Arabidopsis thaliana: one gene and its partners. The protein of the gene in region 1 interacts with the protein of each later gene in a pairwise test. Each region holds a gene or a part of one and is shown in the gene's direction. Other genes may lie near its edges.

The links.
Region 2: the proteins of IMPA-4 (region 1) and AT2G31410 interact in a two-hybrid assay, tested with the Arabidopsis thaliana proteins (one large-scale study listed by BioGRID).
Region 3: the proteins of IMPA-4 (region 1) and NIMIN-2 interact in a two-hybrid assay, tested with the Arabidopsis thaliana proteins (one large-scale study listed by BioGRID).

What each region holds. Positions count from the first base shown.
Region 1 is NC_003070.9:2,989,089-3,001,883, forward strand, and holds IMPA-4 (importin alpha), read left to right. Parts: upstream 1-5,242; 5' UTR 5,243-5,417; coding exon 5,418-5,648; intron 5,649-6,058; coding exon 6,059-6,155; intron 6,156-6,256; coding exon 6,257-6,348; intron 6,349-6,448; coding exon 6,449-6,580; intron 6,581-6,804; coding exon 6,805-6,990; intron 6,991-7,138; coding exon 7,139-7,302; intron 7,303-7,549; coding exon 7,550-7,628; intron 7,629-7,712; coding exon 7,713-7,841; intron 7,842-8,113; coding exon 8,114-8,241; intron 8,242-8,366; coding exon 8,367-8,745; 3' UTR 8,746-8,750; exon of another isoform or gene 8,751-8,831; 3' UTR 8,832-9,120; downstream 9,121-12,795. Other genes in the region: AT1G09250 (basic helix-loop-helix (bHLH) DNA-binding superfamily protein), read left to right, coding at 421-1,044; AT1G09260 (Chaperone DnaJ-domain superfamily protein), read left to right, coding at 4,316-4,732; AT1G09280 (rhodanese-like domain protein), read right to left, coding at 9,121-9,827, 9,940-10,039, 10,116-10,248, 10,338-10,420, 10,499-10,580, 10,667-10,847, 10,940-11,045, 11,468-11,629 and 1 more; AT1G09290 (uncharacterized protein), read right to left, coding at 12,594-12,752. UniProt on the Arabidopsis thaliana protein: Binds to conventional NLS motifs and mediates nuclear protein import across the nuclear envelope. Acts as a cellular receptor for the nuclear import of the virD2 protein of Agrobacterium and is essential for Agrobacterium-mediated root transformation.
Region 2 is NC_003071.7:13,388,367-13,398,461, reverse strand, and holds AT2G31410 (coiled-coil protein), read left to right. Parts: upstream 1-5,534; 5' UTR 5,535-5,642; coding exon 5,643-6,242; 3' UTR 6,243-6,581; downstream 6,582-10,095. Other genes in the region: AT2G31432 (Plant invertase/pectin methylesterase inhibitor superfamily protein), read right to left, coding at 740-946; PMEI5 (Plant invertase/pectin methylesterase inhibitor superfamily protein), read right to left, coding at 1,551-1,889, 1,969-2,169; AT2G31425 (Plant invertase/pectin methylesterase inhibitor superfamily protein), read right to left, coding at 2,885-3,232, 3,497-3,706; AT2G31420 (B3 domain protein (DUF313)), read left to right, coding at 4,469-5,098; GUN1 (s uncoupled 1), read left to right, coding at 7,912-9,968.
Region 3 is NC_003074.8:9,465,362-9,475,088, reverse strand, and holds NIMIN-2 (NIM1-interacting 2), read left to right. Parts: upstream 1-4,049; 5' UTR 4,050-4,199; coding exon 4,200-4,568; 3' UTR 4,569-4,732; downstream 4,733-9,727. Other genes in the region: AT3G25880 (NAD(P)-binding Rossmann-fold superfamily protein), read left to right, coding at 5,056-5,102, 5,214-5,369, 5,476-5,497.

The sequences.
Region 1 (12,795 bases):
ATATTCTTTGACCTTTGGAGTTACAATGTATAAACATAGAAAATATATTTGCATCGCTCAGCATTTTGACTATTAAAGGGCATAATTTTGGAGCTTCATGCCAAGGCAAAAAGATAAAGAACAATCACATGAATGACAAAAGATTAAAAACAAAAGATTTTTAACTAATGAAAAAAAACACAAAAAACAAATACCGGTAAATAAGGGCAAAAGTGGAATTAAGTGTTATAGCTCCGCTGGCGATTGGCAGAGATATAAAAACTGATCTCTCTCCATTCATCTTCTCTTGTTTCTAACTAGTCACATTGAGAGAGAGAGAGAGAGAAAGAGAGACTCTCAGAATCTGAAGAAGAAGAAGAGATTGTTGTTTTTGCCTTTTATCATCGGTTTCTTTGAATCTCTGGTTTTAAATCGGATTTAATGGTGGAGTCTCTGTTCCCGAGCATCGAAAACACAGGTGAATCGTCTCGAAGAAAGAAGCCGAGGATATCAGAGACGGCGGAGGCGGAGATAGAGGCACGACGTGTCAACGAAGAAAGCTTGAAGAGATGGAAAACGAATCGTGTGCAACAGATCTACGCTTGTAAGCTCGTCGAAGCTTTACGCCGAGTTCGTCAGAGATCTTCCACCACCAGCAACAACGAGACCGATAAACTCGTCTCCGGCGCGGCGAGGGAGATACGTGATACGGCGGATCGAGTTCTAGCTGCGTCCGCTCGTGGTACGACTCGGTGGAGCAGAGCGATTTTAGCGAGTCGCGTCCGAGCGAAGCTGAAGAAACATAGAAAGGCGAAAAAGTCAACGGGAAATTGTAAATCGAGAAAAGGTCTCACGGAGACGAATCGGATTAAGTTACCGGCGGTTGAGAGAAAACTGAAGATTCTTGGCCGTTTGGTTCCTGGTTGCCGGAAAGTCTCTGTACCGAATCTTTTAGATGAAGCGACCGATTACATCGCAGCGTTAGAGATGCAGGTTCGAGCCATGGAGGCTCTCGCCGAACTTTTAACCGCAGCCGCACCACGGACGACGTTGACCGGAACTTAACGGCGGCAGTTAGTTTGTCAGTTGTTAATTAGCTTTTCTTTTACCTTTTTACCCCTTTATTTTGGCTTCAAGTGTTTTTTTTTTCTCGTCGACGCGATTTTAATTTATTAAATTCATGTATTTTATTTGTATACATCATCACTTCTTTTTTTTTGTATCCATTTTGATCTTTCTTTGTTTTTTCGTTAGATAATCAAAGTTATCTAAACAATAACAACAACAAAATGCCAACTAATGTCGATTCCAAAAATTGTTTAACGCTTTAAAAAAAAATTAGACCTACAAATTAAAGAAACTAAAAAGTAAGGAGAAGAACAAATAATTTGCAAGTTGAAGCAATTCAAAAATGAGCATGTGCGTGTAACGTGTTGAGGACACCCACCTTAATTTTGGGGCCAATGGACTCCATGTGATTCTCAAAGACTTTTTCCGACGTTGAAGTTTATGTCGAAAAGTGTATTTTTTGCTCAAAATGCCCTCAAAATCTTTCAAACTGATTAGAAAAAAACATTTACTTGAATGTCAACATTAATTATGATAACAAGGAGTAGCATACGACTCTTCAAGAGAACTGACATTATGAAAAATTGATGATTATGGTATAAAATACAAGTTAGTAAAAGTTAGTTGTCAGAAGAAATCCACTAGGAATAACATTGAAAGAAGTGGTGAGCAAAAAGGACCACAAAAATGGAACCAAAAGAAGAGGAAACAATAAGATTGAGAAATGAGTCTCTTGGAACATCTTTTTTCCCTCTTTAAGACTCCCCACGTGTGCTCTTTCTTTTAACACCCAATATGTCTTTCAAAAGCATTCACACCTTTTTGTTGTATATCAAATTAAATGGCAACATGTTTGTGGGTCATTGTGTCTTCCAAGTTATATAAGAAGATTTCTCACAAAATCCATCTTGATAAGTCCTTGGATCGAGCTTGGAGGATGTGCTATAGGTTTTAAATATATATATTTTAAGTACATGTTAGATGAAACTTAAAAAAAACTAATTTATGGTTGTATTTCAAAGATATTTGTCAACTGAGATAGATAGGTTATCCAAATGTCATCTATCGACATACTGCATCTTTTGTCCTTTTCTAGTTTTCTTAATACGGCTGATATAGTTTTAGATAGTAATGTATTCATTCACATGATATGGTTTTTGTGAAGAAAAGCGGAATTAATAGTGAGGCAAATATGTATAGGTATGCTTTTGTTAATTAAATAATATAAATGCATCGAATGATAGCTACAAAACAAACGAAAAGAAAAAAGAGGAAAAAAAGAAGAAGGAGAAAATGTGGAGTTGGCCATATGTGGCTAAAAGGTAGACCCAATGTGATCACATGCAACCATGTGACTCCAATTATGAACCTCATATGTGAATGTGGCCGAGGAGATGCCAAATTTTCAAGAATCTCCTCTTTCTACAACGCTATTTACAAACAAAAGCAAACACTAGTTTTACATTTACAGTCCATACTTATCGACTCGTAAAAAACAAAACAAGAAAAATACAAAATTATCATCTTATTCTTACCTTGTGTTTGAGTTCCCTAATTCCACCAATACTCCTCACTTTAACGTTATGGAATCCGTAGAAGAGAAGGAAAATGCAATCGGTTCAACCGGCAGAAAAGACCGGACCAGAATGTTGAGTAGTGGAAACAATGGGTCCGACGATTAGAGAAGCAAACAAAAACCCTCTTCGACAAAATTTAATTCAACAAATACTGTCATCCATATCTTTTCTTTTCATGTACGTTTGATTATACACGTAAAAGACTTTTGCGTGGTGTAATGAGATGGAACACGTGGCAAGACAGCATGCACTCGCACATGTACTTAGTCAGACAGATTTCGTTGTCTTTGAACTGTGCTCGTGTTTTCTCGCATTTCCGCACGTGGTCTCAAGTCAACCATTATCCACTTCAACTCCTACGATTTTGTTTCTATATCACTACCTCCATACATATAACCAAATTTTGAATGTTACTATTAGATCGTGTTGTGAATCTTGCATTCAAGCTTCTTGGACTTGCCTCTAACAATTCACTCTTCATGGATTCCTCCCGTCGAGTTCCATTTTCACGACATGATGATAAAGGAAAACATGTTGACAGATAAACTGAAGAGTAAATATATAGTTATATTTTGGTTTTCCAAAGAAAATAAAAATTAGTCAAATTTTTGTTTTTTTCTTTGATGTGCAGTGTTAGAATTTCTTCCTTCCAAATAACTTAACTCGGAATATTATTGAGAGGCTATAGACAAGCAAACTAGTGTCGGCCTTCCTTGATGTTTAAGGTCCCAATCTAGAGCAATGAAAAACAAGACAACTTTTTTGAGAAAAATTCAATCTGCCTTTATAAATCGTCTTTTTTGGTTACTTGGATCTGTTACGTTTCTACAATGAACCAAATTAAACAACTATGGTGTTTTCATTAAGCAAACTAAACAACTACAGCTATATAAGTGGAGATATGGAAAGGGGTCATGTTCCTACATTCCAGAACAAAGGATCATATCTTTATTACTGTGAAAGAAATGACAATTTTTTAAATAAATAAAATGTAATTTCTTCAATTTTGTTTTTTGTAATTTTACAATGAGTGCAACATTTTAGTAAATGTTTTTATGCTATTATACAAATCAAACGAGAATATTAAAATGACATAGTCACGAAATCAAATTTATTGAGAGTAAGCTTGATAAATCAAATTTAGAACTAACCAAATCTTTGACTTTCTTATTTGCTCTCACATTCCTGAACAGTTAGATCAATCGTACTCTCCAACTTTTCTACGCACAAAATTTAAAAATTTGATAGTTTTTCTTTTCATTAAATAAAAGACGAGAAACGGTTATATTTGCCTGAGTAGAAACCGCCGATAACAACAAAGTGGAAAATATGGCTAGTTTGTATTTTTAAGTAATTTCTCGATTTAATTTACTTAGGACAAAAATGTATTTATAGAGAAATCGTGCTTTTATTTATTTATTGAGAAGATTCTTTTTTGTTGTTTTGTAAATATTTATTTAACATTTTTATTGGTACAGTGACTTATGTTTTACAATATAAAGGATTTATAAAAATAAAAATTATTTTTCTTTGTCTCTTAAATATGGATATACCCAAATATCATTTTCCATAAAAATTCGGTGTTATCCAAATCTCAAAACCCTATTTTTCATAGATGTTTTTGTTTCTCTTATAAATTCATCACTGAATCTCTCATGCTCACCATTAATTCTCAGCAATAAAAACAAAGAATGAACGATTCAATGAAAGCTCCAAAATTCTTTAAAAACCAGCTAAAACTAGCGGAAGCACATTATCAAAGAGGTAATCTAAAAGGAGCCATTGAAATCGTGAATGACTTAACGTTTGGTCACCCAAACACATCTTCAAACCACCATGAGATCTCACAGATTCTCCTCGCCTATCAAATCAACTTGACTAGCCAAAAAGCCAGTTTCACACACTACGATATCTTGAGAATCTCAAATCCGTTCTGTAGCCATCAGATGATTCAAAGAAAGTACAGAGACATCTTGGTTAAGCTCTACCCCGACACAAATAAATCTATTGCCGCCAAATCAGCTTTCGAGATTATTAATTATGCGTGGAAGATCTTGTCCGATCCTGAAAAACGAAAAGATTACAATATCAAAAAAAGGTTTAAGTGAAGATGATTCATGTCTCCAGAAGATCATGAACCACATCAAACAGTGAGGCAAGGGTTTCATGTCTTTCTTGGGAATTGGAATACAAAACCTATTTGTTCTTCTTCTTTTTTTAGGTTAATTTTATGATTTTATTTTATTTTATCTAGGTATTAATTCCAAGTAAACTTGTGACAGTTTGAAAGTGCTAATGGATATTTTTACAAACTTTTTTTGAATTTATTTAAATGCAAAATTTACAGTTTTGCTGCCATAATAATTATGATTTGATAAGAAAAGTTACGATTCTAGTAGAGTTTGCTTTTCGTTGGAATAACGTGATTATATTTATTTTATTTTAATACAAGATAATTACATATAATGATATAATATGTTGCGAAAAAAGTCTCTGATTCTTGGGAGAAAAGATTCGAAAAGAAGGAAGGATCCAACAAAATCCGAAATTATTATTAACTGAAAAAACAAAAATTTTGCGCCAGCGTGGCAATACTTCTCTGTCAGGAGGAAGGATCCAACAACCAATAAAACTCCGACCCGGATCCGAACCCGAAAGCACCAGACGACTCGTCCTCCACGATCCCAATTTCTCCAATTTCAATTTTGCCAAAGAGCGAGAGAGAAGGAAGAAGATCCAGACGAAGTGGTTTGCCTTCAGGGAACGAGAGAGAGAAAGAGATTTTAACAAACGATGTCGCTGAGGCCGAGCACACGCGCGGAGCTAAGGAAGAAGATATACAAGACAGGCGTCGATGCCGATGAGGCCAGGCGGAGGAGAGAGGACAATCTCGTCGAGATTAGGAAAAACAAGCGTGAGGATAGTCTTCTCAAGAAGCGTCGTGAAGGAATGATGCTTCAGCAGCAGCTGCCTCTCGGAGCTGGCCTTGATGGTCCCCAGACCGCTGCCGCCGTTGAGAAACGAGTAAGTTCCCTTTGATCTGAATTTCGATACAATTGTGCGTGATTTTGTGATTTGGATCACATGATTTGATTATTTAGTGATGGATCTTTGTTTGATTGTTGAAAAAAGTGAGGCTTTGATTCTGTTTCCTACCTCAATTCTAGATCTCAGCTCCCAATCTCATAATTGACCATCAAAGTTTAGTTTTTTGTTTTTGGGAATTTGTTTATGGATATTTGGGATTGATAGCGGATCCTGGATGACCATGTATGCTGATCGCAATGTATAGTGTGCTTTAGTTAGATATCGGAATTTCTATCTTCTGATCCGATGATCTTGTCAATGGATTGGATGTGTTACATTTCTAGCCAAGGAGAGGTTTTCGTTTCTGTGGAAACAACTGTTTGATTACGTTCATGTGCTTTTGACAGTTAGAAGGTATCCCAATGATGGTACAAGGTGTTTATTCTGATGATCCTCAAGCTCAGCTAGAAGCGACTACCCAATTTAGAAAGTTGTTATCTATAGGTAGGTATACATTTGTTCCTTTCAGAAGCAATTTTCTGTTCTGGGGTTGTATGTGTGTAATAGACTTCTGATGGTTGCTTGTAACACGGTTTGATAAACAGAGCGTAGTCCTCCAATTGATGAAGTGATCAAAGCTGGGGTTATCCCTCGATTTGTGGAGTTTCTTGGAAGGCATGACCATCCTCAATTGCAGGTATGTCTTGTACTTCTTTCATTTTTAGATTTGTTCTTTATTAATTGCACCTTGAAGACTCAAGAATAGTTTGGTGGCTTAATGAAAAGTTTGTTTGCAGTTTGAGGCTGCATGGGCTTTGACCAATGTTGCGTCAGGAACATCAGATCATACTCGGGTTGTAATCGAACAGGGGGCGGTTCCTATCTTCGTTAAGCTTCTTACATCTGCTAGTGATGACGTTCGAGAGCAGGTTTGCCACTAACTAGCTAGATAACTGCGTGCTTCCATTTTGTATATGTGACCTGGTCCACCTGGATACATGCCTCTAAGTTCCGTGGTCGTATTTGGTTTGTTTGTTGTTTGTTTTGATCCTTAGTGGTTTTTCGTGATATAGTCAGCCAACTGCTTTTCCGTAGTCATAGGTGCTATAACTTTTTATGGCTTCGTACAAACCCTTACATGATATCATTGTAGGCGGTGTGGGCCTTGGGAAATGTTGCTGGGGACTCTCCAAACTGCAGGAATCTTGTTCTCAACTATGGGGCCCTTGAGCCATTGCTGGCTCAGTTAAATGAAAATTCTAAGTTGTCCATGCTAAGAAATGCTACATGGACCTTGTCCAACTTTTGTCGTGGTAAACCACCAACACCATTTGAACAGGTATGACTACAGGAATGGCTTCTCTTTGATTTTTCTGGACAACTTATGATTGATGGTTCTAGTTTATTTATTTATTGTTATTATTATATTTGTTTCGTTGTGTTCCTTACTTTACTCAAGCCTAGTGTTGGTTATTCATATGTTTCAGGTGAAGCCTGCGTTGCCAATTCTTCGGCAGCTTATCTATCTGAATGATGAAGAGGTTCTCACTGATGCTTGCTGGGCTCTCTCCTACCTTTCAGATGGCCCCAATGATAAGATTCAGGCTGTGATTGAGGCAGGTGTCTGTCCACGACTTGTGGAGCTTTTGGGGTTAGTTCTTTTTTTCCTGACCAATAATTGACTAGACATTATTTTTGTTTATTTCTCATCATATTTAGTCTCTCTATAAAAGTTTGTCTATCTCAATAAAGGTGTTGGTATCTTCAAATTTGTGATGCTTTTTGAGTATCTTCTGGCAACTGAATGTTGATGTTCTTACTATCTCATATTCTTGTTCCTTTTGTTTATTTTTTTTTTCCTTGGTGCATCTATACTAATTAATATATCTTTCTTCAAGTCATCAATCACCTACGGTTCTCATTCCTGCTCTTCGAACTGTTGGGAACATCGTAACTGGTGATGACTCTCAGACACAGGTATGATTTATGACGAACGACTATTTATGTTGTTTTGGGTATTTGTTTTGAGATTTTGACTATGACTGTGTCTTTGCTTGTCAGTTTATAATTGAGAGTGGCGTACTACCACACCTTTATAATTTGCTGACGCAAAATCACAAGAAAAGTATAAAAAAAGAAGCTTGTTGGACTATCTCGAATATTACTGCTGGGAATAAACTTCAGATAGAGGTATGCGGTTTTTTTGTTGCTATCTCTAATATGTCAAGAAGACGGCTGTTCATGGAAGATATTCATTTCTGATTCTGGAAGAAAAGTGAAGAAGTTACTCTTTTCTTAACTTTTTAGTAGAGCGAGCTAATTTTAGTACTTTCATATTTTCCAATGACTTCTCTGCCTAGAAACCTAATTATACCCTATTTGCTACTGAAAATATTGAGATTAATTAAAGTTTCAGAGGCTAAAAGCAATTTTTTAATCAGTTTATATATTTGAAACAATAGGCTGTGGTTGGCGCTGGAATAATCCTCCCTCTTGTGCACTTGCTCCAAAACGCGGAGTTCGATATAAAGAAGGAAGCTGCTTGGGCTATTTCCAATGCCACATCAGGAGGGTCACATGAGCAGATTCAGTATGTCATCTCTATTCTGAAGCGCATTTGCAAACAACTAACTTCACTTCATAGTGTTCCTTCTTAGTCTTATACCATTATCTATCTCGAAATCGAAAAATGCCATAACACAGTTTTGCATGCAGATATTTGGTGACCCAAGGCTGCATCAAACCACTTTGTGATCTTCTAATCTGCCCTGATCCAAGGATCGTGACAGTGTGCCTCGAGGGTCTTGAAAACATTCTCAAGGTTGGTGAGGCTGACAAGGAAATGGGATTAAACAGTGGGGTGAATCTCTATGCTCAAATAATAGAAGAATCTGATGGGTTGGACAAAGTCGAAAACCTTCAATCCCATGATAACAACGAGATATATGAGAAGGCCGTTAAGATATTGGAGAGATATTGGGCTGAAGAAGAGGAAGAACAGATTCTGCAGGACGGCGGGAATGACAATTCACAACAGGCTTTCAATTTTGGGAACAATCCCGCTGCTCCCGTTGGTGGATTCAAATTTGCCTGAAAAAGGTATACAGTAGTACAAATTGAAATCCTTTGGTTTGGGAAACATGAGATTCAGCTTTTGCAACTGTTATTGACAATTGCCAGGTTCAAGTTCGACTTTTTGAGTTCTGGTGCAAAAAGGCTTATTTTTCTGTTTTTTTTTCTTTTTGTTGTTGATGTTGTCCTTATTTGTCTGAATCATTCTCTGATTCTGTATCTTAAACTCTGCTATGAATTATGTGTAGTGTGGTTTCTGGTTTAGGATATGGTACACTTTGTATTTGTCACTTTAATCTTTGTCGTCGTTATAGTTTAATAACTTTTACTTGGCAAGAGTACAAGTACAAGAAATATTTGATTGCAAAAGAGTCTTCTTGTCTTGTTAATAAAGTCCTCAAATGAATTGGTAAAGGAAAGCTTTAATCTCATCAATATAAGGAGACTTTGTAGGAATGATGTGGCCAAAATCGTGCTCAACAATGGTGGCGCAACCATCTTCAAACAACCCCGCCAGGTCTGAGCTGGCTTGAGTCACAATTTGTCTGTCTTTTCCAGGCTGACTTCCGAATATGTGAAGTGAAGGGCATTTAATCGATCGTTTCTCCTTCATCTCCAACAATGGCCACGGTGTGAAACCCGAGCACAACACGCAGAATCTGAAGTCTATTTCACCTACGAGCTGCTCCTGTTTCCCACATACAGCCGCAGCCATTGCTGCACCTTGAGAGAATCCGAGAATGCCATCAAAAGGCCCTTTCTCTTCAAATGCCGTCTTCAAGTATGTCAACGATTTATCAAACCCTTCAGTTTGAGTCTGATACTGCAATGGATCGAACTGGCATTGGGCCACTGTCCAGCCTGTTTCACTCGGTTTATCAAAATCTGATGACACCAACCACGCAAACTTCTTATTGCATACTCCGGATGGAGGGGTAGCAGTTTGGTAGATGAACTGTAATTCGTGTGGTGCATCGATGAACACAAGCTCGGCAATATTCTTCAGTTTCTTTGCTAGTGATCCGGTCCTCCCTTTAAAGCTAGACGCGTTCTGCCTAAATCCATGCAAGCACAAGATCCTCAGCTTCCGTCTTGTATTGTCACCTGACCATAGAAGTGAATTGACAAAGTTTTCAGGGGAAAAGGGACTAGAGAATTTTGAAAAATCCTCTGATGTTTTAAACATTTGATCCAAAAATGAACAAACAGACCTTACCATTGCTTTCAGAAGGTTGGTTTAAGGGATCAAGACTCAAAGGGACTTCCCCTTTTCCGTGTTTACGACACAGCTCACATATATATATATCTCCTTTAACCTGCAATAGCACATCATAAGTCCAAGATACACAATCCTTATGGAGTTGATCAACAAAAGTGGTCTGGGTGCATTACCCGACAATGATTGCAGACTAAAACAAGCATCCGGCATAATCTGCAACGGCAACGTGGAGAATAGTCGTCAAAGGTATTGTTGCAGAGAAGGCAGCTGCCTATTATATCCTCTTTTGAGCTCCCAACTGAGATCCTTTAAATCCGACATCAAAATAAATGTTACCTGGACCTATAAAAATTGTTTTCCTCGTAGATTAGAATAGAAAGATGCTAGATATATACCGGTGATCAAACACAAAGTTCTTCCCTTTGAAGAACCCACCACTGGGAAATTGTTCAAGGTATCTCTGTATGCCACCATAGAGCTGCAAGAAACAAATAACAGATGGAGTCAGCCAAGTTCAGTGACCTGTATCAAATCCATTTGCGATCCAGGATCTCACCTGAAAAGTATTCTCAAATCCAGCACCTTTAGATCTGATATATGCAGATGCCATTTCACATCTGATTCCACCAGTGCAGTACCTGATTCGCCAACAGATGAGACTTCAGTGATGTAGAAAGTAAACTGAACAAGAAATCTCCGTATGTCACAAAACTATTATTCATACATGAGCACGTTTTTGCCCTTCATTTTCTCGGCATTCTGATCAATCCAGGTTGGCAAATCGCTATATTGCCTGATTTCAGGATCAAGGGTCTCCACATTTTCTGATTCGAATTTTCCAATCCGTGTCTCGTACAGGTTCCTCGCGTCAAGCAAAACAAGTTCCTTATTCTCAGACTTCCCATCTCCATCCAGATGTTCAGCAGAGTTGCAAGGAAACGTAATCAGCTAAGAAACGCAATATAGCAGTAAGTAATAAAACAAATAAGAAACTTACTGGCACTCTGCAGGACCGAATGAAACTCTGCAGCAGAGAGATGCTTCCCAGCATTTGAAATTTCTGGGGGTTTAAGGGGAGGGCAAGGACTAAAGGTCACTAACTCCTGCAAATCACAACACAATGCCACATATCTATCAAAATGCTGAGGAAGTAAAGTCATAGTCTAAGAACCTCGACACAATGACAAAAAATTCATCCATCACATGCAAAAAATGGAACTAAGTACAGAAAGAGAAAACATTTGAAGTCCGGAGAAGACAAAAAGCTTAACTTGACACCAAGTCATCGTTAATCTTGTAAAATTTAAGATTTAATCAGCACATACAACATCAAGGTCATCAGTTATGGAGACTATGGAAAGAATAGGCATGAATTTTATAAATTAGTAGAAAACATTCAGTCAGATGAGCAAGGAGATCATAACATGAATATTTTTATCATCCCCGCAAATGAATCTTACGTGTTCCACAGATAAGAACTTAACATAACATTAACTATGTTTGGTAAGAAAGATAAGACAATAACCTCAACAACTCGGATGGAGAGTGATGTAAACCCACATTCCTCAGCAACTTTGTCATTCAAGGGATGATGGCAAGATGCAAGCTTGAAGTCAGTCCCTTCAAACAAACAATTCGACTTTGCAGCGGCAATATGTTCCTCCAATGCAGTTAATTTCCCACCAACCTAACCAATAAGCAAAGTTTTCTATTATCCCAACCGTATAAACAGAACTCTAGCAAAAGCTTCAAACTTTTGGTGTCTACTTCTTTAATGGTTAAGATGGATTACACTCGTAAGTCGTAACTATACATGGAGAACTTTAATCCTCAATCAAACAACCAACAGAACACAGTTCAAAAGGGTTAAGTTTTTCTTTTCAGTTCTCTCACCACATAAAGGGTTAGAATTTTCGATTCATGGCTTTAATACTCAATCAGACGCGAACCACAGACGAAACAGAGAACTCAGAAAATGGTCAAATCAAATATAAAACATTGGATATGTAGAAAAGGAGATTAGAAGCATACAGTAACATTGACGCCTTTAGGGGAGAGCCTGACTCGGCCGAGTAGACCTAATGAGTTGCAGCTAGATTCATAGAAGGAAACGAGCTCATCTAGATCAGGAACAGAGGTGTACTTGTAGTACAGCAACACACCGTATTGCTCTTCATCTTCAATTCTCTGCTTCTCGTGATCGCCACACGAGCTCGTTCCCATTAGGGTTTCTCTTCTTTCCACTGGGATAATCTCAGGCTCTTGGCGTCGCGAAGATGGAACCAGGAAGCCAACACTGTTTCAGAGCGCGATTTGGAAAACCACGTACCAGAGGTGGACCAAACCGAACCTTGCTTAAACCGACATTTGTTTATAAATCGATTGGTTTAATTTAAAAACCGAATTGAACCGATTGATTTCCAAGTTGCCATAGCTTAGCCTTACAAACTGTAACATTGTGAACATAGGGAAAAAGCGGTGGAGATGGGTTTATCTTTGTTCTCTTGAATAACATAGGTCAGACATTGTTGTTAACTCCATTAGAGATACTGAAAGCAAAAGACATATCTAAACAAAAACAGAGAGATTACAACTTCTATTGATATCTTTGGCTCTCGAAAATCGAATGCAGCGATCAGCCTTTGCACCTGTCAGTTTGGTCCCTTTTTGTGTTTGGATTCAGGGACTAGAGGCTTGATGCAGAGTTTCGGCTTTGTGCTAACGAGTCTATGTGGAAGCACTGAAACAGCAGCTACAAAGGAGCCACTTGATATTCTAGAGAGCGGTAACAGTTCCACCAGAACACATAACTGCACATTTTTACTCCAATCTTTCAGACTTTATAAACGCGAT
Region 2 (10,095 bases), on another chromosome or scaffold:
CAATCATAAATAAATAAAGGGTATATTTTTTTGTGTAGTGTATTAGTAAACTACAATTTTTTCCAAAAATATTCTAGTACTTTGGATGCCATTTAATAATACAAGAAATGTTGAGGTTAAAAATTTCTACTATTAATCCAATCCATTTATCAATATCCCTAAGTTTAGACCGTTATTATCCCTAAGTTTATTTACATTGAACCAAACATTTTGCTTCTTCTTTGTAATATATGTGACCAAGCTATTGTCACATATATTACATTAAACCAAATATTTGATTTTTAAGATATATATATCCAATCTTCTCCAAGAAAAGAAAAAAAAATAAAATAGAAATTACCAAAATTAAATTAAAACAAAACTCAGCTCTATATCAAAATTTATTGTGTAGGGTACTATTTTCTTGATTGATAAAATTTTAATAGTCCTGTAATTAATTTAATGAAAAATGATTTTCTAAAATATTATTAACTTGTCGATTTATTTATATATTATATGTTAAATATGCATGGATCGAAGTAGAGGAAATATTTGCATCTTCTAATCTAATATTTGCGATTTGTTTAACATTTACTTTTGATTGGTTACAATTATTCAGTTTTCTTAATTAAATCTAAGTTACGTTAGATCATCAATATTACGAAAATTCTTTTTATTCCTAGTTTCTACCACATGGATTTCTGCATAATTAATATAAAAAAAAAACGAAAATTGTTACATTAGTAACTATCTAACGTACCGCGATTAAAAATATGTCATAGAAGTCGCGTGCGGCTACTATACGTTTGTCCGACCCAATGTTTTTCATGCAGAAATCTACTTCAGACGACTCCTTGCAAAGACTGTATACGTCTTTGGTTGGCATTGCATTTGATTTTGGAAATGCAAAAAGCACTAATAATAACGACGAAAGAAAATTTATGTGTTTTTTTAGCATCGTGGCCATATTGAGACACAAATTAAACGTGTATCTTTTTTATTTAAAAAAAAATCTGTGTTTCAAAGATCTTATTTATAGTTAGATTGAAAGTTAAAAACGGTAATAATTGTCTATGGATGAGATTCCTTAAATATTTGAATGGTAGCACAGTAAAATAGTAACAATAATTAATGGAATTAAATCAACCTGGTTTAAGAATACTTTTGGAGATATTCACCAAAAAAAAAAAAACATTTTTGGAGGGAATATGAGTCTCCGACTGAAATCAGCGATTCTTATTTGAGTCTTTAATTGTCCAAGGCTTTGGCGCATATATATCTTGGAGGAACATATATATATAACAAACATCGACATAGACTTTAGGAGTGAACAAGAGTGACTATAGCATTAGAAATCTTAAATGATAGTTTTTTTAATAATAAAAACAAATCTTAAAATGTGTGTTTAGAACCAAAAAAAAACTTATAATTTGGAATAAAAGGAGTAACAAACTTCAGTAGAGAGTGAAGACTTTTACGAGAGAACGTTAATGAATTTGGCATACTTTCACAAACGAAACGTCCTTTTCACAAAAGGTCACTTGTGTCGTGGCCATGAAATTCCGGTACAATTAGGTCACAAGCTTGTTGAAAATAAGAAGAATGATTCCAGAAAGCTTGAAAACATTCATGTTATAGAAAGTGAGAGGAGACGTTTGTATCGGACCATCCCTTCTCCATACGTTTTCGCAGTCGATCACAGCGTTGGTGCCAATCCTTGCCAGTTTTTCCACGTCCCAAAACGATTTTTGAAGTCCAAGTTCCCAAGCTGTGTGAAACCTTGCCGAAGCAATTCCGTAATTCGTCTTGCAAACCTCGATCCGTCTCCTCCCATGAGGACCATTGAACTTTCGACGGACTCTATCAATATGAGTGGTTGCGTCATCCACTTGCATTTTTGACTGCGTTATCTGATAAAGTTTCCAACATAAACAAGATTAAGTACACTCGAATAAAATTGCAATATATGTATAAAATTCATAACATTACCGCAATTAAAAGCACGTCAGTGAGGTCACGTGCGGCTGGTATACGTGGATCTGTCCCAAGGTATTTGAGGCAGAAGGGCACATCAGTTGTCTCTTTGCATAACTTGTCAATGTCTCTGGCTGGAATCGCGTTTGCTACTGGAAACACGACTATTAACAACGACGTAAGGAAAAGCATGTGGTTTATTAGCATTGTGGCCATTTTGAGAAACAAGAAGTGTTTTCTTGTGTTTTTTTCTTAGCCCTGTTAAGCGTTATTCTTTCTTACAAGAAACTTTATAACCTTAATGTATTAGAATTTTCTTATTCTTTTGTGCTAAACTTTTCCAAAACTTTAGCACCATATTTATACTAAATAGGTTGTGGCTATACAATAAGCCAATTTCCTATTCTCGTACTAATAGCAATAGATAATTTCCTTTTTTTATGGATAGGAAATTGTCCTCTGTCTTCATGCTTTCTTTTCCTCATATATAAAAAAGGAAACTCTTGATAATGTATGGAAGAGAATCTCTTCAAGAGATTCCTTACTAAATCTAGAATACTCTATATTTGCATCATGCATCTCCAAAAAGACATCATAGACAACTATTTTTGCTTTCGAATTTGTGCTAATTTAGCATACATCTTTAGCATTTTTCCGGACTTAGTTTTTGCTTGAAACTCTCATTCAGGTGTATACCACAAATTGCGTCGAAACTCGAGATTTTAAAACGTCATGTTTTTCACGGAATGATGATAAATTATCAAAAACATCACAAAGGTTTTATTCATTTAAACCAATAAATACATATAGTTTCAAAAATCGGGTTTACAACTAGAAGCAGAGAACAATCGGTGTTAATAAACGTGTGAGTGAATAAGCTAAACCAGTTAATATCGTAAATAAATCAAATTCCAATACGACGTACTTAAGCCTAAAGCTTGCTGATAATAAGACGAGTAATTTGGCATAGTTTCAGAACGTTATGGTAATAGAAAGTGAGAGGAGACTCTTGTTTCGGACCATGCTTTGCCCATTCGTCTTCGCACTCGCACACAGCATCAAAGCCAGCTTGCGTGTTTCGGGTTATTTCCATATGGTCCGTCGATGAATTTGACTTTTTCTGTCCGACTTCCCAAGCCTTGTGAAAACTAGTGCCCGCGCTCTCGTATTTTTCCTCGCATAGAGCGATCCGATTCTTTCCAAGCGTGTCATTAAACCTTTGGCGGATATTGTTGATTTGTGTGATTGCATTGGTCACTTGAATTTGAGTCTCAGATATCTGATAAGAAGGTCTCAATCACAAACCAAAAATAATACTTCTTTTGTAGAATATGAATAAACCACAGATTTCTATAACTTCTATTTAGTATTTTGGAGGCCATGTAATCTTACAAGAACTGGTGTGGTGAAAATTTTCAACTAATCTATACTATTATCCCTAATTTTACCAACACTGAACAAATATCTTGCCTTTTTTGGTAATATATGTGATCAACTAATCTGACATATCACTAATCAAAATTGTCACATTAAATAACGTTACCGGAATTAAAAGCATGTCACTGAAGTCGCGTGCGGCTACGAGACGTTGGTCCGACCCAATGTATTTCATGCAGAATTCTACTTCAAACGTTTCCTTGCAAAAATTATGTACGTCTGAGATTGGCATTGCATTTGACATTGAGAATACAAAGAGCACTAAAGATAACAACAGTTGAAGAAACTTCATGTGTGTTATTGTCATTTTGGCCATATTGTGAACAAAGAAGGTCTTTCTTAATTAATTTTGTTTCCGTTGTTGTGTTTCAAACATTTTATTTATAGTTAAATTCAAAGCTAAAATAGGTGATGATAATATACGGATGAGAATGAGATTCCTGAAATTTTTAGGAAAGTCAAAGACTTTGAACGGTAGTTCATCAAAATAGTAATTAACAATCATTAATAACCATGAAAATACTAATGGCAGTTTAATGTTTCGGTTTCCACTAGACCATTCCATTATCTCCTAATTTTAATTTTTGTACACAAAACTTTTTTTCTCTTGGGTCATGGATGACAAAAGATAAACATGTTTTGCTTTGGGAAATAAAGAAACTAATCTTTCACAAAAAAATAAAATTCATCAAGATAAACAAATAAACTAATCCAATTTTTTTTTACTTTTGGAAACTAAAACCTATTTATGTTAGGGGAAAAATAAATGAAATAAAACAAAAATTTGATTAAAAAACGTTAATTAACTGGATTTCACCTAATTATTAAAATTAAAAATTAAAATAGTGAGAACTAAAATAAAAATTTATCACTAGAAAATTATTAAAATAAGAATTTATTACTAGAATATATATATATATATATATATATAACTTATTTAAGGAAGATTGGGAAAAAAACAAGAGCAAATCCTTAGTAAGAACGTAATTAAAAATTCTGTTATATAATATTCTCTATCTCTCTCTTAAGCTTGTTATTAAACCTCTTCCTTAATTTCTTGTAGTTCTCTGGCCGCACAATGGAGGCTTATGATATTTGTAAGTTTTGGAAGCTGGATATGTTGGAAGAATTTTCTCAAATAGTTCTCAAAGGAAAAAAGAAAATCATCCTCGACATCCCGAGCCCCTCTCAGCAGAACAAAAGCGACATCGTTTCGTTATGTCCTGCTGATAGTCCCGAAACATGCAATTCTTCGATACCAGACTGGCTCGTGAAAGTGATGAGAAAAGAGAATGGATACGATCCAAAGCTGATCATAAAGAGGAGGGTGCTGTGTACGACTGATCTCCGTAAAAACCAGGGGTGTCTCTCAATGCATCTCAGCAAATTAGAGAAGTCAGATTTTTTGACAGAGGACGAAACCAGATTCTTAGATGAAGACTTTTTAAAGGCTAAAAGGGATGGTTTGAAAGTGTTTTTGGTGGATCCTGAATCGGATAAGCATGTCGTTTATTTAAAGAAGTGGAATGGTAATACAGTTTGGAAATATGTGTTAAGTCATGGTTGGAACAATGTGATTGATAAAAAAATCTTCAAAGTCAATGACGTGATTGAAATCTGGTCCTTTCGAGATGGAAGTGGAAAACTTTGCTTTGCTCTCTCTTCTCCAACCCGTTGTGGTAGAAGCAGCTCTGGTCATTCCTCATAATGTCACAATGTTGCTTGAGACCCAAGTAACTTTAGGAATTTGTTTTTCATTATTTTTTATGGTTTATTGATTTTTTTTTGTAGAGAGATTGGATATTTTCTCCCTTGAGTCAACTAGAGAGGTTGGATGTTTGTCCAATGACCTTATTTTTCTGAATTTATTTATTTATTTTAAATTGACTTGGTAATAATGTAGATTTATTAACAATTTTTTTCTAAAAGATTACTTTGGATTTATTGTTGCGGTACTAACTTGTGTTAATAGCTTGAATCAATATTTTATCACGAACATGGATTTATTCCCAATTCTATCCAAATTCACAACCTAAAAGATTTGATTTGGTTTTCTACAATTTAAAAGAGAAGGTGTTTGCACTAAAACAGAGTAATTGATGAATCACATAATTTCCGGTTCGGTTCGGTTATAATTATGTGGTCGGCTAAAAAACCGGAATTTTAACCCTGTCTCCATCCTCACTCATATAAATAGTCGAGAAACCCTAAATTTCTGCCAAAACCTCACAGCCACACAAAGAAGAGAAGAAATGGCTTGCACCGTAGATTTCCGGTGCCTTGACGAAGGATTCGGCGGCAAAACCTACAAACGCAAACGCGAATCTCAAGAACAAGCCGCCGCCGAAGCAATCGCCGATGAAGCTTCCATGGACATCGATGGTGCTCCTCCTGCCGCGAAACGTAGCGCCGTCGCTTCCTCTGAAAATCCAGACAAACCTATTGCTCTAGCTGTCGAGAGACCAACCTACGACGGTGTAATCGCCGGGAAAGTCTCCGGACGGAACTGGAAACAGCCGCGAACTCATAGATCTTCAGGGAGGTTTGTGAAGAACAGGAAACCAGATCTGGAGGAGATGAAGAGGCAAAGGGAGATTAAGAAAGCGTATAAGGAGAGGGTGAATGAGCTGAAGGAAGAGATTAGGAGTAATAAGGTTGAGAAGAGGAAGAAGAAGGAAGAGAGAGAGAAGCGGAAGAAGGAGAATGTTTTGAGAACTGGTACTAAGTTGCAGAAGATTACAAATCCCAAGACTTTGAAGAAAATTTCTATGTCTAAGAAGCAGAGGAAGCAGCTTAAGAAAATTCCTGACGAGATGTTGAGTGGTGGTAGCAAGAAGAGTATCACGAATTAGTGGTTTTTTGTTCCTTCTCTTTAAAGGCAAGTGTTTTCAGTTTTTTGTATTTCCTCATGAGGTTTATTCGATGTTGTTTAGTTAACAATCTGCAGCTAAGAACTAAATGTTATGAAAGTTTAATAGTGAGAAACTGTGTTTTGCTTCAACAGATAAGAACCCATCTTTTGTTTGCAGTTTCAATTTCACTCCATTGAGAAATTGGATTTTGATTATCATTGTGTAATTGACTTGAATCTGTCGCACATTAGTTATATGTAGTGTGTCCATTGCTATATCTGGCTCTGCTTCTTGATAAGGATCTTGGTGTTTGACTTTGATTAATGGTTTCATTTCGATAGCTATGTTCTGATATGTTCTCAATAAAGTGACAACCATATAAAGGGTTGATCCCATGAGTTTGTTCTCCGTTCCTCTTGTTTGAAATGCGGTGATTTTAGCTGTTCTTAGGAGTATTTCAATTGTAGTCCTATCCTGTGAAAGTTCTTTGTAATGTCTTGAATTTTGATTATGATTGTGTTGAATTTATCACGCCTTAGTTATATGTAGTTGTTCATTGCTATTTCTGGCTCTCCCTCTTGATAAGGATCTTGGTGTTTCTCTAATGCTGCCTCTTGCTGTTTGGTGCGATATAGATAGGCATTCGGGTCTGAAATCTAACCTATACATTGACTTCGATCTTCGATTTATGGTTTCATTTCAATAGCTTTTCTCGGGTTTTAGTTTTACTGAAATATAACAATTGAATGATCCCATGAGTTTTGCTTGTTGTGTGATGTGTTCTCGGTTCCTTTTGTTTGTAATTTCAATTGTATTTATGTCTTGTGAAAGAGCTTTATAATGGTTTAATTGGATGAGAGACAAATAATATACATTCTCTATGGCAGCCAGTAACTGTTGATCTTATATTACACATGTAAGATAATGTTGGACCAGAAATGTCAACATCTTTCGAGAAGTTTTGTGTGGCAGTAATTCAGATATATGTTCACTCTGTGACGCAAGCGTTTAATATCTTGGCACTGAAATCGTTGTCGGAATACTGAGAGTTTGACATCTGGAACATTAGGATTCCTTTGGAGTTCGAAAATTCTGGTTCCTACATTTATATAAAAACAAGACAGTGATATCAGAGTTTTTAGATTGTTTCAGCTTTCTACATTACTTTTTTGCTATATTAGGTGGAACAATGACTCGTGCAACATCCAAATGTTCTTTCTACTCGTCAATAGGTAGGTGGTTGATTACATAATTTGGTGAGAGTTGGTCGCATAAAGCTTAACCAATACCATATCTTTCCCCAGATCTCCTCTCAGAAAGTCTGATAAACAAATTATTTAACAGAACAGATACACAATTGGAAAACAAATATGTGACAATTATTGCAAAAACAAATAAGAATGAAAGAAACAGACGAAAGTTAAGTAACCATGACTTTAGTGAAATTAATCAATTTCGTAAGCAAAATAATAAAAAATCATTTTTCTAGGAAGCAGAGGAGGAGAGTCCTACCAATTCATCTTCTCTCTCTCTCTATCGGCTCATATCTCCAAAAGACCTATCCAAAAAAAAAAAGTTTGAGTCTTTACGAATTCCAAAGAAGCAATGAAAAACCCTATCCATATGTAGCTCTTTTCGATTCCGTAATCACCACAAACTCTTCCTTTCAATGGCGTCAACGCCGCCTCACTGGGTCACCACCACCAACAACCACCGTCCATGGCTTCCTCAGCGTCCTCGTCCCGGTCGCTCCGTTACCTCAGCTCCTCCCTCTTCTTCAGCCTCTGTTTCTTCAGCTCATCTTTCACAGACTACTCCAAATTTCTCTCCTTTGCAAACCCCCAAATCAGATTTCTCCGGTCGTCAATCTACCCGATTCGTCTCCCCCGCCACCAATAACCACCGTCAGACCAGGCAAAACCCAAACTACAACCACCGTCCGTATGGTGCCTCTTCTTCTCCTCGTGGCTCAGCTCCTCCGCCTTCATCTGTAGCTACTGTAGCTCCAGCTCAACTATCACAACCTCCTAACTTTTCGCCTCTCCAAACCCCAAAATCCGATCTTTCATCGGATTTTTCAGGTAGACGATCGACTAGATTCGTCTCCAAGATGCATTTCGGGCGGCAGAAGACGACAATGGCTACGAGACATAGCTCTGCTGCTGAAGATGCACTTCAAAACGCTATTGATTTCTCTGGAGACGATGAGATGTTTCATAGTCTAATGTTGAGCTTTGAGTCAAAGCTGTGTGGCTCTGACGACTGTACCTATATAATCCGTGAGTTAGGGAATCGTAATGAGTGCGATAAAGCTGTTGGCTTTTATGAGTTTGCGGTTAAACGAGAGAGGAGAAAGAACGAGCAGGGGAAGTTAGCTAGTGCTATGATAAGTACTCTTGGTAGATATGGTAAAGTAACTATTGCTAAGAGGATTTTCGAAACTGCTTTTGCTGGTGGATATGGAAACACGGTTTACGCCTTCTCGGCTTTGATCAGCGCTTATGGGAGAAGTGGGCTACATGAGGAAGCCATTAGTGTCTTCAACTCCATGAAAGAGTATGGCTTGAGGCCGAATTTGGTTACCTACAATGCTGTGATTGACGCTTGCGGTAAAGGCGGGATGGAGTTTAAGCAAGTAGCCAAGTTTTTCGATGAGATGCAGAGGAACGGTGTGCAGCCAGATAGAATAACTTTCAACTCGTTGCTTGCTGTTTGCAGTAGAGGAGGGTTGTGGGAAGCAGCAAGGAATCTGTTTGATGAGATGACGAATAGAAGGATTGAGCAAGATGTTTTTTCTTATAATACGCTTTTGGATGCAATTTGCAAAGGTGGGCAGATGGACCTTGCTTTCGAAATCCTTGCTCAGATGCCAGTTAAGAGAATCATGCCTAATGTTGTAAGTTATAGCACCGTTATTGATGGGTTTGCAAAAGCCGGAAGATTTGATGAAGCTCTTAACTTGTTTGGTGAAATGAGATATCTTGGTATTGCATTAGATAGAGTTTCTTACAATACATTGCTTTCAATCTACACTAAAGTTGGTAGATCTGAAGAAGCTTTGGATATTCTGAGAGAAATGGCATCTGTTGGGATTAAAAAGGATGTTGTGACTTATAATGCTCTTCTTGGAGGATATGGGAAACAAGGGAAATATGATGAAGTGAAGAAAGTTTTCACTGAGATGAAGCGAGAGCATGTGTTGCCTAACTTACTGACTTATTCAACTTTGATCGATGGGTACTCGAAGGGGGGTTTGTATAAAGAGGCAATGGAGATATTTAGGGAGTTTAAGAGCGCCGGATTAAGAGCTGATGTTGTTTTGTACAGTGCATTGATTGATGCATTGTGCAAGAATGGGTTGGTGGGTTCTGCTGTTTCTTTGATCGATGAGATGACAAAGGAAGGAATTAGTCCTAATGTTGTAACTTATAATTCCATAATCGATGCCTTTGGTCGTTCTGCAACTATGGACAGATCAGCCGATTATAGCAATGGTGGATCTTTGCCTTTCTCTTCTTCTGCTCTGAGTGCATTGACTGAAACAGAGGGTAATCGGGTAATACAGTTATTTGGGCAGTTAACAACTGAGAGTAACAACCGAACGACGAAAGATTGTGAGGAGGGTATGCAGGAGCTCTCCTGTATATTGGAAGTTTTCCGCAAAATGCATCAGCTGGAAATTAAACCAAATGTTGTAACCTTTTCAGCGATTCTGAATGCTTGCAGGTTTGTTTCTCCTTTGGATCCTCTTTTTGAAGTTAACGAGTGAAAGATATGACCAAATAGTTTGGGTTTTCCTAGATTAGCTCTATGTGGTTTTGCTGTTTGACTCCATTTTCTGTGGGATACTTAT
Region 3 (9,727 bases), on another chromosome or scaffold:
TTAAATTCTTAATTTGATGTTGATTTTCAATTTAATTACAAATTCTCGTTGACTAAGCCAATTGAGACACAATTTTTTTTCCCGGTATCGTCAATCGACCTAAAGATGAAAGATTACTTTGAATTCGAATAAGAAGAGAAATTCCAAAGAAGATAAGAGATTCTGAAGAAAAATAGAGAAAAACTCAAAAATTTTAATTAGAAAATTTTTTAACGATGTGTCTTAATTGGCTTAGTTAACGAGAATTCGTGATTAAATTAAACGTCAACATAAAATTGAGGATTTAAATCACCAAATCGAGAGTTTATGTTTTAAACCAACGAAAATGGTAAAGTGATGATTTAAATGACATTTTTCCCTTTTACAATATGGTAATAAAACATACTATTTTTGGAATTATATTATGGATATATGGTAAATAAATTTAGTTTGTGAAAGGAATAATACTTTGTATCGAACAAGTTATTATTGTATTGTAATACATTATTCATGAAATTTACTTCTCACTGTTACTGCACTGTGGGTCTTTTAGCTAAGTGAAGTAATAGAATTTTATTTTATTAATAGTATTAAACTACAATAACATATATATTCGTTTTTTAATTAAAAATAAATAAAAGAGAGTGACTAGTAACTACTCCTTCATTGTTTAGTGAATTATTCATATTATTTGATGTGATGTATACTTGTATTCTATAGTAATTTAACTCATTCTCCCAAATTGACTCTTAAACAAAAACATCAATTATAGATTCTGATAATTTTTTCGGCATTCAACAAAAATATCTTACAAAAGATCGACGAGTATAATTCAATACCATTAATTAACATAACAATTTGTGAGGTTAATTAATTACATTAGAGGTAGTTTACTTTGCAGTATCTTGATTGTGCTAAAGAAGAACAATTTCGAACGTGGAGGATTGTTCCATCCCCACATTTGCTAGTTGCTACCAACCGAGGGACTTTTCATCATAATTTACAAGTCTTCTTCCCATCTTTAGTGGGTATAAATAAATACAATTTTTTTTTTTTTTTTTTTTGTGCACCAAATAAATACAATGTTAATGAGAATAATTCACAACTCAAAACGTTTTTGAATAACTCTGTTTTATTTTTTCCACACTCAAGCATTTCATGAAGTCAATGGTCTCTTTTTGGGTCAACTAAGTCAGTGCTTAAGTTAAGTTACTCTGTAATATTCCGTAACATAACATGATCATGATCACTCTAATAACTTGCAAAATCATTTAAGTTCGGTCCGATTTGAACCGATCAATTTAAACTTGTATTTTAGAGGTTAAGCTCATCCATTATTTGATATCTTACACCATGAACGAACATTTGGTTAACCTAAAGAACACAAAATAAAATAAAAATTTCTAACATTTTTTGCTCGATTCTATTTGGTTTCGGTCCTAATAGTTTTGAAACAACTTAAAACAGGTCGCTTCCAGATTAATCCAAAAAGTTAACATCTCTAGATTAAAATTTATATATCAACTTCAAATTTTATGATTTTTTTGTAAGGTTCATTACGATTCGATCGATTAAAAATTTAAAACATTTTTTACTAAAGAAATACCAAAAAAATATTGAAAGTGTCATTTTCTTTCAATTCCATAAAACGAAAGGAACTCCTAATTTCCAAAATTTTGTTTATTCCACAGCTTTTTTAACATATCGCTCGCATTGCCACATTGGTCCAGACCTACTCCCCTTTTTATTTACAAGATTGCCACTTTAAAGAGTTGGATAATTAATTTAGTTTAAACTAAACATTTTTCTGCAACAATATAGTAGGAAAACAAAAAGCTAGAAGAAAAAAGAAAACAGTGAACGCACGCCTGAATGCATGTGATTGCCTACCCTACGTGAAGAAAAGACGATGCAATTACAGAAGTAAGAAAAACATTTTCTCCACCAATATACAATGACCCTTACTAATTATTACTATTTCAACAAAACGTTTCCTACGTAAGGAAGGCAACAGATTCATTTGATGTCATTTTTCAACGACAATAGACAAAAAAAAAGTAAAGCAATAATAAAGTAAAGTTGTACACTACATATATACTTTTTAAAAATTGTTGAAACACAAAATGTGTGCAAATTTATAACAGTGTATACAAAATGGATGTTCAACTACGTCAAAGACTATTCATGAAGAAAAACGGTCGTGACAAAATTTAGACAAATTAACAATATATTAAATAAAAACTTTTAAAATAATTTTAGTATTACAGAAACATTATTAGATAAATTCGCAATATTTTTGTTCTATTGAAAGAAAAACAAAAAAGAAAGAGTAAGGGATCATTACATTGATTTCACACATACAAGTGTCGGATTATCAGTGTCACGTGGTGTTTAAAATGTAGACATTTCACCATGTGGACTAATACATTCATAAATAATGCAGCCATCGACGACGACCATCAAGCAATTTTTATATGTGGAAAGTTTTTTCAAAAATTATTAGTAAGTGGACACGTCAGACAAAACAGAGAGTTGAAAAAAAAAAAACATAAGTGTAGAGAGAGCGAAAGACACAAGTGGAGCTGGTCGGAAGTTGGAAAGTTGGAAACAGCTTAGCCGCCCACGTCGGCCCTACAATTGATTCGACGTTGTTAAGATATAAAGCCCAATTATAATGTACTTAACTAAAAGGCTTTTACTTTAGGCCCATATGTAGATCTTTGTTTTCTTTTGTTAAAAGTTAAAACACCAATATCAATTAGTGCTTACATTATTCGAAAAATCATTACAAATTTACGTGTCATTTTAAATTGATAGTGGAAATAAATAAATAAATAAGACTAGGAATAATAATCGCAAGAAAATCTTCCCCACGTTAACGATGATCACAATTCACAAGTTCTTAGTCTTCCTTATTTATTTGTTGTTTGGCCAAATTTTTTTGGTCTTTGTTAAATTATAAAAATATAGATCTCTATGTATATAAAAATATGGGTAATATTAGAAACTAACTATGAAATGGAAAAGAATTGAGAGAATGACATTGTGTCAGAAAAGTTAGGTAAATAACATTTTCTGAAAAAGAGAAAATACAAAAATATCCTTGTGTTTACTTATTTTTACAATAATGCCATTGGCTTTAGTTATAAAGTTTATATGTATTTGTCTAAAATAGCATGATATATTTACAAAAATCATGCAATTCTTTAAAATACATACAGAATATATATACACGATATATATGTTTCTCTGAAATAATGTGTTTCTCAGAAATAGCACGAAATATTTATAAAAAGCATGCAATTCTCTTATAGATCGCGAAGTTTAAAAAAACATATAGAATTGTTACAATATTACATGGGTTTTTATTGGATAACATGACAAATATTTATTTATTTCATGAGTTTTTATTGGATAGCATGACAAATATTAATATATCAGTGTTAATAACATGTTTTGTTCTTAAAATACATGCATTTTAAAATCAGACATTTGTTTTAAAATCAAATCTAATCTCTTATATCACAACGACATTGACGGAAAATTCAGGTAAAAAGAGAAAATAAAGAATGAGAGATAGAGAGATTTCTATGGAAAAAGAAAGAGAGAACATGTAGGTGAACAAAATAAAGAGATATGATGATATATTTTATGAGAGGTGGTGAAGATTATTTTAGGAGAGGGAGAGAGAAATAGAAAAAGAAAATGACATGGTGAATCTGAAGAAGATGAATTGTGTTAAAGATGAAGAGAGAAAGAGAACTCCATGGCTAAAGTCTCGTAAAGAAGATGAAAAAGAAACAAAAGAAGGAAGAAGAAAGAGAAAGGCTAAAATAGACTAACTATTGCCAAAATTTCTGTAGCCGACAAATACTATTTGGTCCAAGGTTATTTTGTGTATTCTTTTGAAGTCAAAAGTTATTTCTTACATATACTCTAAAAATATAGCCGATACCAATTTTTCCACACATGGACTTCCTTTATTCCAAAAGTCAATAAAGTGTGACGTCATGATACTTACGCTTTAAAACATCGCATGATGATGTCATTAGCATCAATCTCCACCGTCCAATTTATTTAGTTGTTGACAATATCGACCGTCTAAGTTCCACACCGACGGCTATAAGAGTTTCATTATAAATTTTAGCAAAATAAAATCAGCAAATAATTTTTTCTTGACTAAGCTTAAACGACGCCGTTAACATTTTCTTCTGGCTAACATGAACAACTCTTTGAAGAAAGAAGAACGCGTAGAAGAAGATAACGGAAAATCTGACGGTAACAGAGGGAAACCGTCGACGGAAGTTGTTCGGACGGTAACGGAGGAAGAGGTGGATGAGTTTTTCAAGATATTACGGAGAGTACACGTGGCGACACGAACGGTTGCGAAAGTTAACGGCGGTGTTGCTGAGGGAGAGTTACCGTCTAAGAAGAGGAAACGGAGTCAGAATCTTGGGTTGAGAAACTCGTTGGATTGTAACGGCGTTCGAGACGGAGAATTCGATGAGATTAATCGGGTCGGGTTACAGGGTTTGGGTTTGGATCTGAACTGTAAACCGGAACCAGACAGCGTTAGTTTATCGTTGTAGACTTGTAGTCCTTCATGTTTTTCCCCTTCTTACAATAATCAATTTTTTTTTAACTACAATACTTTTGAAAAAAATGGTAAAAGAAGATTATTAACATGTTATCCAAATTTCAGATTCTTCAGTTTTATTTTATACGTCAAAAGAGAAGTTATATATTTGCAAAACTACAAGTCAAACAAAAGCTATTTAAGCGTTTGACGTTCCTAAACAACATAAATTTTACTAAAATCAATGTTTTAAAAAAGTGTTGATGGTAAAGATATCAATTGGGCCTTTGCCTGGCCCGTTTAGTAATATTGCAGAGTAGGTATGGGCCTGTATAAGGGAGTCCAAAAAAAGAGCGGGCATTGCGGGTTGGGTGCGTTTGGAACTTTGGATTGTGGATTAGTCATGGTTTATCTATTAATGTCTGCGGACTTGTGGACGACGCGCTTGTTCTTCTTCCTCTGTTTACGACTTACGAACATATGATCTCTCATCTCTAACAATGATGGAACCTAAAGCCAAGTACGATCGTCAACTCATGTATACTATGTTAGTCTCTTCGAACTCTACATTTGTATTATTCTATCGATCTTCGAACGAATCTTGTTGGGAGGAAATTTTATGAAGTAATCGTTGATTGATTAGGATTTTGAGGTGAAGTCAAGGGACTTTGGAAGAAGCGAGTATCTGTTTACTCAATTGTGGTCCTATTGGTTCCAATGCCTTGAAGAATCTCGTCCTTGGTGGTGTTGGTAGTATCACCATCGTTGAAGGATCCAAGGTTCTAATTGGAGACATTTGGAAACAATTTCATAGGTACTAAGTAATGACTAGTTTTTGATTTTTTTTGTTGCTATTTTTAGATGCTATTTGTGTAGTTAAATAGTTATGACATCTCTTTTTCGTCGTTGTTTGGTTATAGCTGGTGGAAGATTCAATGGTGAACCTAGATATTAACGATGGAGTAGACTGAACAGTTTGTGTTTGGTGATAACACAGAATTACAAAACTTGTGGAATAACCATTTATTACGGTCAAAGTCTCTTGTCTTCAAAGGCATGCAATAGAACAGAAGTTCTCCATAAGCGAAGGTTTCAGAGACGAGAACAACACTGTGTTTCAGAGACGAGAACAACACAGTGTGTTTCAGAGACAACTAGAACAGAACAGGATTGCGGGCCAGACCGTTAGACCAATGGACATTGCGAGGCGAATATGGGCTTCGATTGGTCGCATGTGGTCGTTGGCGGACCGGACCACCACTTATGGAAAAGAAGCACGGGCCATCACGGACCCCCCATTTGGTCGCGTGCTCGCCCGTCTGACATCCCTAGTTGATCGTCATCTAGATTTTAGACGTTTATGTGATATCTAAATAACCGTTTTGGCTGTCTAAAATTCCATAAGTTTTATTTTAGTTTATTTTTTAGTTTTCAACTATATAAATTTAAATTATAAGTTTTAGCTTTGTATATATTGTTTGTTTCCAACTATATAAATTTAAATTATAAGTTTTAGCTTTGTATATATTGTTTGTTTCCAACTATATCAATTTAAATTATAAGTTTTAGCTTTGTATATATTGTTTGCTATGAATTATAAATGGTTTTATCTAAGTTTTGTTTATAATTTCATATTTTTATTTTTCTAAGAGATAGTTTTCTATGAATTTTATTTATAATATAATATTTATAATATGTTATGTTGTAAATGTGTAGCCGCTTAAAATCTCCTAAATCATGATTAGACGTTCTAGGCGTAGATCACCACCTCTTAAGTAGCTAGTTAGATTTAGCAGATTATCCAGTTATCATGCAGATTAATTGTATTAGATAGATTTTGGTAAGATAGGTGAATTTAGCCTAATGCTTTTAAATTTATGTATTTTAAAATTAGTGAATACTGAATACTCATATTTCTTGCTTATGTATTTTGATTAATTTAAAATATACAATTTATTTCTATTAACTTGTTTTTATTATGTTATATTAATACAGAAATATATTTTATTTTTATTTGAAAACTATTTAAACCTCTAAAAAATCGTCTATCCACTAATTGACTAATTGTTCTAGCCCTTTAGGCATTAAGCAGAGAGTTATAGTCCATTTATTGTTTTCTTGACATTGGAAAATACTAATAATGCGTAATTATATTAAAGGGCTTTTGGACCTTGTAAGTTGTAGGTTGGCAGACGAAATTGGACAGAAATTTAGCGCAAGACGAGAATTGTGCAAGTGTGAATCACATCCATCCATTTTAATATGACGTGCTATCTCGTTCTTTCCTATGATACTTTAAGTTAATTGAATAAGTCAAAAGTGGATGATAAGATATAGAATTACTAACACGAAATGATATGATTGAAGCAAATTAACATGTCTTCTTTTTGTTTTATATACATAATTCTCAAATCTTTTTTTTCTTTTAAAATCTATTATATCTTTCTAACACAAACAATATATTAAACGAGTTAAAAGTCTAGTCATTCACAATAGTAGTAGTTGTGGACTTAGGTTGCTAGTCAAGCTAATCTTAATCGAGATATGTATTGGCATGACATATAGCTGTGTATCGAGATATGTACATAGACCTGCACGGCTTTATACATGTGCTGGAAAATCTGATATACAAGGTCTATCCAAAATTTGTCTTTTTTTTTATACGTAAATCTATTACAATTAGGGTCCAACTATTAGAGCATTATAATAGTTGACTATCATCATTTTCTCTTTTCGTAAGGCTTTCATAGTTTTTGCAAATGGCTTTGCTCGAAAACGATTGTTTCGGTTGCTTCCCAACAAAACGCTATACCAAACAAAGAATTACAACTCGAACAATTTTGTCTGGATTACATGGACCGTCCATATTGGCCACATAAATGACGTGTTATACATGAGCATACAAATTAATGAAATGATATAACCTTTTATTTTTTGGGTGCTAAAGTCGTTTTGGGTACAAGTTTATAAGATCCTAATCAATCATCTACACATGGTAAAAAGATTAAATATTTAGTAATTAAGAAATTTCTTTCTTACAGCTATCTGAGCTTGACATAATTTTAACTTTTTAAGATTGCGATATCCAAATCTTCTCAGGTTAATATTTTCCAGACTGAGATAGGTTGCAGAGAGAATTCTCTTTCATAAAATCGTTTTTATTTATATCTATTGTGATCGTAGTTTCAAGTATGTATCTATAATATGTAATACAATAAAATTAAAAATATTTAATAAGTATGTACAATAATAACCTATGACCAAAAAAAGATATGTTTTATAGACTAATTAATTTGCAAATAAGTAAGTTATTTAGATAAAATAATTTGGAAAATATGTTGAAATAATAATAGATATGAAAACATCGCAAAACCAAGTTGAGCATGCTACAATATAAGTTAAAATCCTTGATATATGAAATTGTACGGTTCTATTTCCGGTTAGGTTTTATTTCTGAAAGTTTTGAGATTAAGATAAAGAGAAAGTAAAATTATGTTAGTTGCACCCACAATTCACAAAGCGACTATCAACCTAACCACCGATGATCTAGTAATGTCGGAATCACGTGACGTGTACGGACATTTAAAACTTTTATTGCCTATTGATATATAACCATTAAAGAGAAACTAAAAGCTTTAATGAGCGTTTTAGATTAATTTTTTATATACGAAATATGTTTGGATCCTAATAATCCAAGTCATGTAAACAAATATGCAAGGGTTAGTAAGTACCGACATATATAGTTCTGCATCAAGCTCACAAGCTAAAGAAAATTCGAGTAAACACGAACGAACATTTTGTTGATCTTTTTAGTTTATGACCGATTCCTATAACCATTTATCAGTTTTATTTCTTTAAAGACCTACCGACGTCTGTAATTCAGAATTTAAATGATTTACGAAGTGAGTAGCTTTTCGAAATTCTTATAATTTGAGATGATTAACTTTGGCCGTCATTATTCTGAAGTATTCTCACATATGTAATAATCTTTTCTGTCTAATAACCATATACTATCATGAGTTTATGTAACAACCACTATTTAACCCATTTGTTATTTTGATCGAACGACAACTGCGATGAAGACTTCAATTGGCAGAAAACTTAATCGACGGCTGAGATGTGATGATGGAAAGTGTTCTAATATAGACACGTGTCATGTTCTCTACACATGTCCACGTACTATCTCCACAGCAAACCCTCACGCTGTCGGCCGGAAATTTCGTTCTCGAAAAATATGAAAATCTTTATAAAGATATAAATTTACGACAAAAAAAAATATATATATTGTTCGAACCACGACATGTAGTACTATTTAAAATTCAAAGATAAGAAAACGAGTTCGAAAATGAAGCAAAAAGAAAGAAAAAAAAAAGATTTGAACGAAGATAATTAATTGTTGCGAACATTTTTGGGAAATATTAATTATAAGTGTATAAAATTTTTAATGAAATTACTCTGTAGATTGTGAGGTCGTACGTCAAATTTTTTGGCTATGGGACAAATCTACAGTATTTAATCAAATTAATTGTTTTAGGAATTGCGAGTTTTAATGGGGATCTACCTACAACTTTAAGCTTCGTCGTGGCGCTAAGTGAAGACGAGAGGACGTGAAAGCGATGCGCACCAGAATCGCCTCTCAATTCTTTAATTAGAACATTACAAAACTCGTTCTATCAGAACTATACCATTTTTTTGTTTTTGTTTCTTCCCATTTCTAACAAAATCTCCATTCAATACCAATTTGACGAAAATTCACATTTCAAATGATTTATTAGTCTTTAACTTGTTTAAGAACACCTAACTAATTTTGTATTTTTATTGTTCGAATTTCTGATATTTTAACCACATAACTTTTCGCATATATTTAAAGACTATAGTTAGCTAACTTAGCTTCTACCGCCTGCCTAACCAATAATATAATTGATAAATAAAAACGCAGACTTATCTATTAATTTCATATTTTCGTGTTATGTACAATCCACAAATTGATAGACATGTAAAGAAAGAAATTGCGGTAAGAATTTAAATAAAGTCAGAATTGTACATAGCTTCTATGTATAGTTTCTTCACGCATGGTCCCGGTCTCATTAATAATTTCCACGAGTTTTTTTTTTTTTTGTTGATTTTTACATGTACATATATAGCTTCTCCATCCATGGTTCTCATAGCTCA